Linked DNA regions of Yarrowia lipolytica. The protein of the gene in region 2 purifies or fractionates together with the protein of the main gene of each other region. This does not show direct contact. Links are inferred from orthologs where the notes say so. Each region holds a gene or a part of one and is shown on either strand. Other genes may lie near its edges. The genes, in order: YALI1_F37890g, YALI1_E04613g and YALI1_D09504g.

What was found.
Region 1: the proteins of YALI1_E04613g (region 2) and YALI1_F37890g purify together in Saccharomyces cerevisiae (affinity purification with mass spectrometry; 5 studies listed by BioGRID, with this or other methods). This does not show direct contact. The link is inferred for Yarrowia lipolytica from reciprocal best matches to the Saccharomyces cerevisiae genes TIF35 and HCR1.
Region 3: the proteins of YALI1_E04613g (region 2) and YALI1_D09504g purify together in Saccharomyces cerevisiae (affinity purification with mass spectrometry; 4 studies listed by BioGRID). This does not show direct contact. The link is inferred for Yarrowia lipolytica from reciprocal best matches to the Saccharomyces cerevisiae genes TIF35 and TIF5.

What each region holds. Positions count from the first base shown.
Region 1 is NC_090775.1:3,787,692-3,790,635, reverse strand, and holds YALI1_F37890g (uncharacterized protein), read left to right. Parts: upstream 1-1,621; coding exon 1,622-2,350; downstream 2,351-2,944. Other genes in the region: YALI1_F37892g (uncharacterized protein), read right to left, coding at 96-1,388; YALI1_F37878g (uncharacterized protein), read left to right, coding at 2,836-2,944. UniProt on the Saccharomyces cerevisiae protein: Component of the eukaryotic translation initiation factor 3 (eIF-3) complex, which is involved in protein synthesis of a specialized repertoire of mRNAs and, together with other initiation factors, stimulates binding of mRNA and methionyl-tRNAi to the 40S ribosome.
Region 2 is NC_090774.1:459,906-462,976, forward strand, and holds YALI1_E04613g (uncharacterized protein), read right to left. Parts: upstream 1,433-3,071; coding exon 548-1,432; downstream 1-547. UniProt on the Saccharomyces cerevisiae protein: RNA-binding component of the eukaryotic translation initiation factor 3 (eIF-3) complex, which is involved in protein synthesis of a specialized repertoire of mRNAs and, together with other initiation factors, stimulates binding of mRNA and methionyl-tRNAi to the 40S ribosome.
Region 3 is NC_090773.1:948,418-952,204, reverse strand, and holds YALI1_D09504g (uncharacterized protein), read right to left. Parts: upstream 1,780-3,787; coding exon 622-1,779; downstream 1-621. Other genes in the region: YALI1_D09493g (uncharacterized protein), read right to left, coding at 2,422-2,874; YALI1_D09488g (uncharacterized protein), read left to right, coding at 3,330-3,787. UniProt on the Saccharomyces cerevisiae protein: Catalyzes the hydrolysis of GTP bound to the 40S ribosomal initiation complex (40S.mRNA.Met-tRNA[F].eIF-2.GTP) with the subsequent joining of a 60S ribosomal subunit resulting in the release of eIF-2 and the guanine nucleotide.

The DNA.
Region 1 (2,944 bases), on a different chromosome or scaffold from region 2:
GCTTTAAGCAGCCACTGGATAGATACTTACGGTTGCCATCAGTCAACATGTCAAATTTAATTCTATTTACAATGAACTGTCGATGTAGGCAACGACTAAACCTCAATGTCATCAATAGACTGGAGGAAGGACTTTTCCATCTGTCTGAGACGTTCGGCCATGGGGTGACTGCTTTTAGCCTCAACATCGAGCTGGGGAATAAACACCTCTCTCACCAGATGGCCGACGTAGTCTCCGATGTCCTCTTTCATGCTGCTGGTCTGGGTGATGTATTCGTTAAGATCATCTCCCAGAATCTGTTTGAGCTGTGCGCGAACAGTCTTGGTTCGAACGAGAGGTTTTCCCTTGAACTCAGCAGCTGCAGTAGTCTCGTCGATCTTGAGATCTTCCACGGGCAGGGTAAGCATCCACAACCAGTCACAGTCGACCTTGGCAATGATGTCTTCGCCGTCATTCAGAGCCTCCAGTTTGATGAGTCTAGATCGAGCTCCGTAGCTATGGAACTTGAGAATCATGCTCTTGAGCTCGGCGTCGCAGTCGGGGTTCTTGATGAGATACTCGGGATCAATCTCATCCATAGACAGCATGAGAGGAGTCTCAAGGGTAATGCTCTTGGTGACCCCGTGAGCAGCATCAATGAAGCCATAGCAGAAAAGGAACTCTGCGGCACTCTTATCAGGTCCGTAGTTGATAAAGACCTCATCGCCAGCCTTAATTAGCACATCTTCATTGACAATTAAAACCACCTCTCCACTGTCTACTTCAAATCGGCAATTTGCCTTGGGTGAGTGGTTGACGTAATCAAGAACAGGGACCATGGTCAGAGCCAGCGTTTCAGATCCAGGAGACTCAGGAATTTCCAGGCTTCGAGACACAACCCATTGCTCGGATAAATAGAACTGTTGCTCTGAAACTAGTTTCTCTCCTCCTTTCTTGCCGACAATTGCCAAATATTTTGCCTGCACATGCATTTTCTTGTGAACACACGCCATGAGGAGAGAGGTTCCCTTGAGACTATCAAAGATCTCAGTCTCGGGCCAAGACCAGGGCTGGTCCATCTCCGTACTTTTGGGCAGAGAAGACACATAATCGCTCATACCAGATGAGCTCTGAGAAGCCAGCAGGGCCATGAACAGCACAATGACATCTTTCTCAGATTTTAGCCATTCCAATGACGCTTTCATAAACTCCAAATGCTCTCCGGTGAGGTATTTGTTCTCCTCGGTCCAGGCGGATACATGTTCGGCGTTAATGAGCAGATCATTGGGGACTCTCAGAACAATACCGGAGACATTGTCTTTGGTGAATCTGAGCCCTTTGCCCTTTCCAGGAGACTCAAAAATCTCTGTGTTTGTGAGCGTCACTTTTCCTTCCTTAATCCAGTTCATTGCGTGTAGTGGTAGAGTGGTTTAGTTGAGAGATCTCGTATGTCTCGGGATGGGCTCACTTTCCATATCGTGCATTAGGTTCTGATAATGGTCCTTTAAGTCTAGGTTATGGGACACGAAATTGGGACATGGCAAAAGGGAAAACCCGTACCCTAGTTAAAGATTTGAAATTTTGATTTGACCCTTTGCATTACCGAAATAGTACAACTTCACGACACAACGTATTGAAAAAGATGGCCAGCTGGGACGACGAAGACTTTGAGGTGCCTGCCGCTGCCACCCCCGCAGTCCCCGCCAACTGGGATGACGACGAAGAGGAGGACGTCATGGACTCCTGGGATGCTGAGGAGCCCACCAAGGCACCCGGACCCAAGACCACCGTGGCTGCCCCCAAGAAGGCCCAGCGACAGCAGATCGCCAAGATCGAGCGAGAGATGGCTGCCATGAAGCTCAAGCCTGAGGATGCTTCCACCAAGCGAGACCGACAGCGACAGGCCGAGCTCGACTCCGACATGATGAACGCTTCTGAGCTGTTTGGTGGCACTGGAGGTATTGCTGACAGCGCTGCAAAGGCTGAGGCCGCTCCTGCTCCCGCTGCCCCTGCCGCTCCCATGAAGTTGTCGGATCTGGCAATCTTCCACCCCAAGGAGAAGAAGGACTTCACCAACCTCAAGGAGACTCTGGCCCCCATCCTCACAGACCTTAACAAGACCAGCCCACTGGCCTACCCCGACTTTGCCATCACCTTCACCAAGGCTCTGGCTGAGCCCCTCAAGGTCGAGCAGCTCCGAAAGCTCATCTCTACCCTGAACGCTTACCAGAATGAGAAGATTCGAGAGGAGAAGGCTGCTCGAGGTAAGAAGAAGAAGCCCGGTCTTGCTGCTGCCTCCGCCAAGATCAATGACGATAAGGATACTTCTACCTTCAACGACAACTTCGATGATTTTGACGATTTCATGTAAGTGGACTCGGAATGCGGATTTGTGCCACTGGGGTGGCTGCGGTATGCTTTTGACCTGATTGCTACATTTGGCAAAGGGTCTCTAACGCATATGCAGACGGACCTTTGTTAGAGGTGGTGTAATGTAATGTTTGATGACCTGCCATGCCATGGTACTTCAGACGTCATGTAGTTAATATTATGTAGTCTGGTGCGAACAAGATGGAAATATGGCCTGTAGACTTGTACTGTACGAACGGGCCTACAGCTCGTTGGTATGAGCAGGAACACTTTTCAAGAATATGACGGGTCGCCCGGATAGTAACAATGAAGTTGCATTGGCGACACAATATATATCGCTTTTCCCTCATTCTGGTTGCTTCATCTTCCTATAGCTACTGTACCACCAGTACGAGTGTCCTCCTCTTGCACACTTAACACCCCAGATACACTTCATGCAGTGCAGAACACGCCAAAACTCTCCTACAGTCTCACACATCAGACAACATGATCTGTATAGAATGTACAGAACCGGTGTCATCATTATACACGGAGTACTCAACCGATAACATTCGACTCACTGCATGCTCCAAATGTAACAAATTCGCCGACAAAT
Region 2 (3,071 bases):
GAACAACTGAGTCAGACGTGATTTCCATCAGTATATCTTCTCATAGTATGTACTGTACCTCTGGTATCCATCTGCTAACAATTATGGTATGTACACTGTACCGTATGCTACTGAGAGCTAGTGAGTAATCTCTCTCTCTGCGCTTGATCTAGAGAATTCTCGACTCTGACATAGTTACTCACTTAATGCATGACCGTCCTATACGGTATCTTACCTGAGTAGAAGTATACCAGTTGTCAGTCACAGTGTAAGTACACTATAGGTAGCTACTACTTGTACCAAGTATGTACCAAAATGTGTAGAGCTGCACCCTGTGCCTGTAACAGTTACAACCGAGGAGCTTCAATCCTTGAACTAATCTCTAAGCTTCAAGCTAGACCAACTTCAAATTACAGAAATGGCAACCACTTCTAATATCCACCATGCCATCTCGTTCCCACTCTACAACTACTCCCGCTCATATCATTCACCATGCAAACTGTATTAACAGAACTATTTTTACAACCGTAGCGGCCGTCTCCCCTTTTTGTGGCATCCTCCATCCACTCTAGTTTCTCTTCTTGGAGTAGTCGACCTTCATAATCAGGTTGTCGAAACCATGACCATCCATGGCCTCGAGAGCAGCCTGAGCGTGTGACTTGAGTGTGTAGGTAACAAAGGCAAAGCCTCGGGGTCGGCCGGTATCTCGGTCCTTGGCAACGTAGACTCGGTTGATCATACCGTACTTGCCGAACATTCGTCGCAGATCGTCGTCTGTGGCCTCCTCCGACAGGTTGGTAACTCGGAGAGTGAGCTCGTCGTCGTCGTCGCTTCGGCCACCAGCAGCACCGCCAGGACCACCAGGACCACCAGGACCCTTGTTTCGAAGATGAGGGGGAACGTAGCCTCCAGTCTTCGCAGCGCCAGCAGGCTCGTCTCCACCAAGAGATCGACCCATGCCTCCGGCAGCTGTGGATCCACCAAGAGTCTCCTTGTAAGGACACTTCGAGGTGAAATGGGGGCCCTGACAAAGTCGACACTTGACTCCCTTGTCCTCTCCGACACGAGGGGCGGCAGCAGCTGCCTCCTCCTCCTCAACCTCCTCCTCGGGCTGATCAGACTTAAGGCCAAGCACAAAGACGATATCTTCTCCAATGGTGGTGGTCATTCGGTTGGGACCAGGAGGAGCTCCAAGCTCCTTGCCGTACTTGGTCCATTTGGATCGCTCAGCAACACAGTTGAGCACCTTCTCTGTCACGCTCTGGTTCTTGATGGTGACGGACCGCTTGTACTTCTTGCCATCATCCATTCGATGAGTCACGATGGTCTTGGTGCCATCGGCGTTCTGTGTGATCTGGGGAGTAGAAAACTCGTCGTCGTCGGCCCACTTTTCGTCCATTGTGTTCTGTCGAAAGTCTTCTGAACCTGTGTCTTGATGATGGAAGGTCTGCATATTTTTCACCAACTAAGTTACCCTGGCTTTAGAGTTGTGAGAAGGGCTAACAGTACATAAGGGATATATTGGGTAAGTAGTGGGTATTATGGATGGCAGAGACTATTTTGACACTCGCATATGGGGTTTAACAACAACCCTTCTTTTGTTATATGAAAATTCATCTCAACAGTGGTTTTGGGCTAATTTTGCACCCATCTGAGATCTAGCTTCACGTGATTCGAACTTCTCCCAGCCTGCAATGTACGAGTTTTGTAGCAATGGTTGTGTGTTCGATTCCAGGTAGCGTCATATGCAAATGTAACACTGTCCAGCTATATACAGCAACTGTGGGGAAAATAAATGTCTTGGATACTTGTACCGGTACTTGTGATGCCGTAAATTATCTACAGGATTATGGCATATTTCTCCCGGCCCCTCGACGAGATCTATATGTAAAGTACAGTTCTCGTAGTTGTAAGACGAGATTGGTGATCTGAAGAGTAAACTGCGATCACCCCGTTGTACAGTATGTACAAGCACAGCCAGGACACCACGTGTAGGTTACTGTAGCTACATTACAGGAAGTACGTACCTACAGTTTGTCCAGCAGAAGAATGTCTCTTGTGTCATGTGAAGCAAAACGTCGGAAGTGAAGCAGTTCTAGAACTATTGCTGCCTCGATTTTGGGTCTACAGTAATTGGCGTAAATTCAAAAGTGAGGTAGGTACTGGATTATACCGCCCTTATAAATCGTCTCAAGTCAGATTTATGAAGTCTACTGCTCCGATATCGTCAGTTGACCCTCCGATCCACACGCATACCTGCACATGGACTGTTCTTGTGTGTCCAAGTAGCCTTTTGATGGATACGAGCAGCAAGGTTGGCAATCGATTGTGAGTCTAGAGGAGATAAGAATCCAAAGTTTGTTAAGCGAAGCAAGGTAACCACGTACGCAATGATCAGGGTGTGAGTGGGAGGAGTGGCTACTATATTACCTCCTAGGCCCTGGCGGGGACGGTTTTCTACTAAGAATCAGGGACGGGTTCAACGGCTGGGCTGTCTCAGAGCAAGGTCTCTGTTGCCTCCCCCGGTGATCATCATCAGCCTTGGGGAGAGGGAGTCGCGTGCAGAGGAACAATGGGCTGACTTGCCACGTGCACGAGAGGCTCCGACGTAACATACGGCACAGTACAAGAACCGATAATATCTACCCCGCTGCTGCCTTCTCCTCACCGCGGATTTAATTGCTGATACGGCAATATACTCGTACTGGAGGCTGCATGGTCCACTTTTTGTCTCTTACGGTGGGTACATCATTTTCTTAGAGAACCATCGGCACTAAATGGGAAGTCTAAGCTTCGGACAGCGAGAGGGTGACCATGGAGGGCTAGCAAAGAGTGATAAATAGTGCTGAAGATGTTACTTTCCTGTACATTTCGATAATGAACCAACAGACTGTTTATACTTAGAACGACACATGATCTGAGAACAAAAAACCGCACTGTGACGGCTGGAACTGCGGATGTGTTTTAGGTCTCAAAGTTGGAATTCCATCTGGACGCGCCGCACAAAACCAAGCGCCTTTTAGCTCTTGAGCTGAGCTAGTCTGGCATAAACTGTTTAGCTGCGCCCCGCTGGAACAGCTATACAAGACTTG
Region 3 (3,787 bases), on a different chromosome or scaffold from region 2:
GAAAGTTTCTAGAATCACATTACAGGTGTATGTACGATATATACGTAAAACATAGAGTGGAGTGATGGAGTGATTGCGAGGCGTGATCCAGCCAACACATCTGTTGTATGTGTTGATGAGATGATGTCGATGTTGATATCGTCAGGAGACAATCTAAGACGGTTTTGGTACCCACAGATGTGTTGGAGCCGCCATTCCTCTAGTGTAACGAACTATACGAGTGTTTTTCACACGATCCAGTTGTTCACTCACCTCGTAACTGCCACTACAAGTGATTTGTGTGTCCACTCTACCATTTTCCCCATTCACTTACCGTTATTCACTCACCTAAGACAAGATCGGTAATGGTTGCAGTCTGCCTACTTCGACTCCCTGAATACTGTCAATCTCTCGCATACAGCTCGTTCGCTACTTATACCACTGGTAGTAGATGATGTCGCCCACTGTTACTCACAAGTCACTCTTATTTTATTTATACATACTGTCGTGCACTCGCCTAGGGCTAGTCACTGTTGGTTGTTGTCCGCTCGCAACTCGCCGACGGCTGGTTGCTCGCTTCCGTACATATGCTACATGCTTGAGGTCTATCCTCTATTTGTCAGTTGGCACCAAATGCACCGTTTACTCGTCATCACTGTCAGACTCCTCCTCAGCCTCATCGAGCCAGTCAATGAACGGCTTGGCAGCCTTTCGCACCTTCTTGGAGGTCTCCTTGTCGACGTATCGCTTGGACACCTTGGTTCCCCACTTCTTGGCCACCTCCTCGGACACGAGATCGAGCTCGTAGAGCTTGAAAAGGATCTTGGGCACGGCGGGGATGAGATCGGGGTGGGTAAGGCCAACGAGACGCTCAATACCACCAAGCAAGGCCTTTTCGTGCTCGTCGGAAGCCACAATCTTGGTCAGCAGACCTTTGTGCTCATCAATCTGCTTGACAATGTCCTTGTCGAAAATGACCTGGGGCAGAACCTGGACGGTCTTGGAATCGTCAGAAATACCCAGCTCAATGGCCTTCTTGTAGATCTCCACGTCGCTGGGTTCACCCTCGGAACACCACTCTCCAAAGATGGTGTAGGCATCGTTCTCCTCCAGGGCGATGCCGGCAACACCCTGCTCGACCTCTCGCTGTCGGGCAGCAACGGCCTCGGCAGAAGTGTCGACAGTCCAGGTATCGTCGTCGGCTCGGGTAGCGGCGGCGGGAAGCTCGGATGCCTCGGCGTTGATTCGCTTGGTCAGCTCGTCGTCAGAGGGTTCGCCGTCCTCGTTGTCGTCCACATCAGGGGCCTGAGCAGAGGTGTTGGAGGCAGCTCCAGCAGCACCCTTCTTACCCTTGGCTTGCGAGGGAGGGTTCTTGACGATGAAGGTGGCGAGTTTGTGTCGGATGTCCACGGGAGTTCGCTTACCACAGGCCTTACAGTCTCGGGTAATGTCTCCGTTCTTGGTGATGATGAGCTCAGTCTCGGGGTTCTTGCAGGCCTCACAGAGCACGAACCGGTTGATGAAACCGTCCAGAGTGTCCTGCAGAGAGGCAGCGTCGTGCTGACCATTGACCAGGTATCGGTCCTTGTCCTCGGAGATCTGGGTCTGGGCTCCAAGCTCGATACCAAAGTACTTAATGACGTAAGAAGGAGGTCGGTTAAGAGCTCGGGCAACGTCAGAACCGTTGATCACGGCAGTCTTGATACCGTTACCTCGACCCTCGATCTTGGAGGTGATGGCAGGCATCTTGTACCGGTAGAAGGGGTCGGGGTTATCTCGTCTGATGTTGATCATGGACATGGTGAAGTTGGTGGTGAAGTAGTTGTTTTTGTGTCGGGGTTTTTATCTAATGTACATTCACGTACACCGGCGGGTTTGTTTTTGGGGAATCGTGGGTTTGCGAGCTGCTGGCACGGTCGAATAATGCATAAGCAGAAAGTAGAACTACTGTGTGCAACGTGATGTGGGTCGCAAATTTTTATTTTGCATTTGCATCTTAAAGTGAACTTAGTAAGCGAAGGGAGGTGGAGCACGACACTGGAGTATAAATATATAGTCCATCGACCACCAGGATGTATGATTTATATCTTTAGAACAAATATTCAATCGAATATCGTCCAAAATCATTCATTTTCCTTCCAAATAGACTTTTTCACCCTGATTTGCCCAGACCCTAGAAATCTCACACCTTCCTAAAACTATGCATAGTCTCGATGAGGCAGCAAAGTGGCAATACAGGTACGGGCACAAGTACTCGAACTGCGCCAGTGTAGTATTGTACGGATATGATGCTAATCAGATAGGGTTGTCAGTGGCATATATAATCGCCTGTCTTGATTTTTGCTTGCTCTCAAACCTCCAAAAAGCACTGAGACACGAACCTCCATCCACGGACATGTTCTTGTTAAGCCTATCTTAACTAATTCAGCGTACATAAGTCAACTAAACCAGTGTGCAGACATCAGCCAAGCGGTGCTCAAATGTGCTCATTGTAGACATGAGACTGGGCTGGGCTCTGCGTTCATCAGATAGACGGTGGTGTGGATGGTCACGTGACCCGCGATATATATGACGTGACCGGAGATATCTATCACGGGAGTTCAAATTAGGGCAAGTACCGGTAAGAGGAGTACGAGTACGAGTTGGCACTGGTAGCTGTGTCGAAAGGTGATATACCCGATACAGTACTGTAACTGGTCTCTCATTGACATCCGGCTCCTCCAGTTTTAGTAATGTGCACAGGTAAACGAACGCACGATCTCGCCATGTACACCTCCCCTCTTTCTCTCTCTCAACGCTTACATAATCCACTCTTCTCCTCTGCTCACCCGAGACACCCAAACAATAGCCCTTTTCGACGGTTGGCCCTATACAGCAATTATGACCCACGTGCATTGCTCGTCTGAACTTTGCTTGGTGGTGAGCCAAATGGGTACAAGTGGTTATTTGTAAGCCGTGAGAAATATTTAAAGAGGAAAATTTGGTAAAAACGACACGGGGAACAAAATGAACTTTTCAGATTATCTGTGCGACCTTTGGGGCCCCTTCTGGTGCAACCGTGCTACGTCCTCTCACCACCACTTTTGCATTAACTTTAAGCTCAACATCTGGTCCTGCTTGGAGGAACACTGTCTTCAAGAAACGTCATCAAATCGGTTTGTACAGCTGTGCCAACCACACGATCGGTGTCCCGCCTTCGAGCACATACTTCCCATCCCGCCTGCTACCTTCTTCAACTCTTTTTTCGCCCATTTCCGCTGTTCAACGACGCAAAACATGTTGTAACACACCGTTGTTGCATCTGCCCCGCCCGACACAAGACCCGCTCAAAGACACAAATACACATACCAATGACCCTGGCCGACACTCTTGCGGCCGTGCACGACAACGCCGAGGCGATCCAGACGGTTTCTCTGGACACCCGGATCAAGGAGGAGGTGACTCAAGATGCCGAGGATTCTGGCGAGTTAGACAAGACGTCTGGTGAGATCCAGGAATCGCATGAGAAGGAGACCGAGGCGCAAATCAAGGCGCAGAAGGACGCCATGGACATGGCCAAGGCCGAAATTGACGTGGCCGAAGGCTCCGTGGACGACCAGGACGTGTCTGAACTGCAAAAGGTGCAGCGAGCTCTCCACCAGGCAAATCAGCCCGTGCGAATCACCCAGCAAAAAACCGGAGTCACGCTGCCGGCAATGAAACTGATGACGCCGCCAGACGGGGGTTGGGAGGTGCCCGAAAACTTCTCAATTGTGGTGGGCCAAATATACCGGTCGTCGTTCCCGCGGCCCGAGAACTTTGAATATCT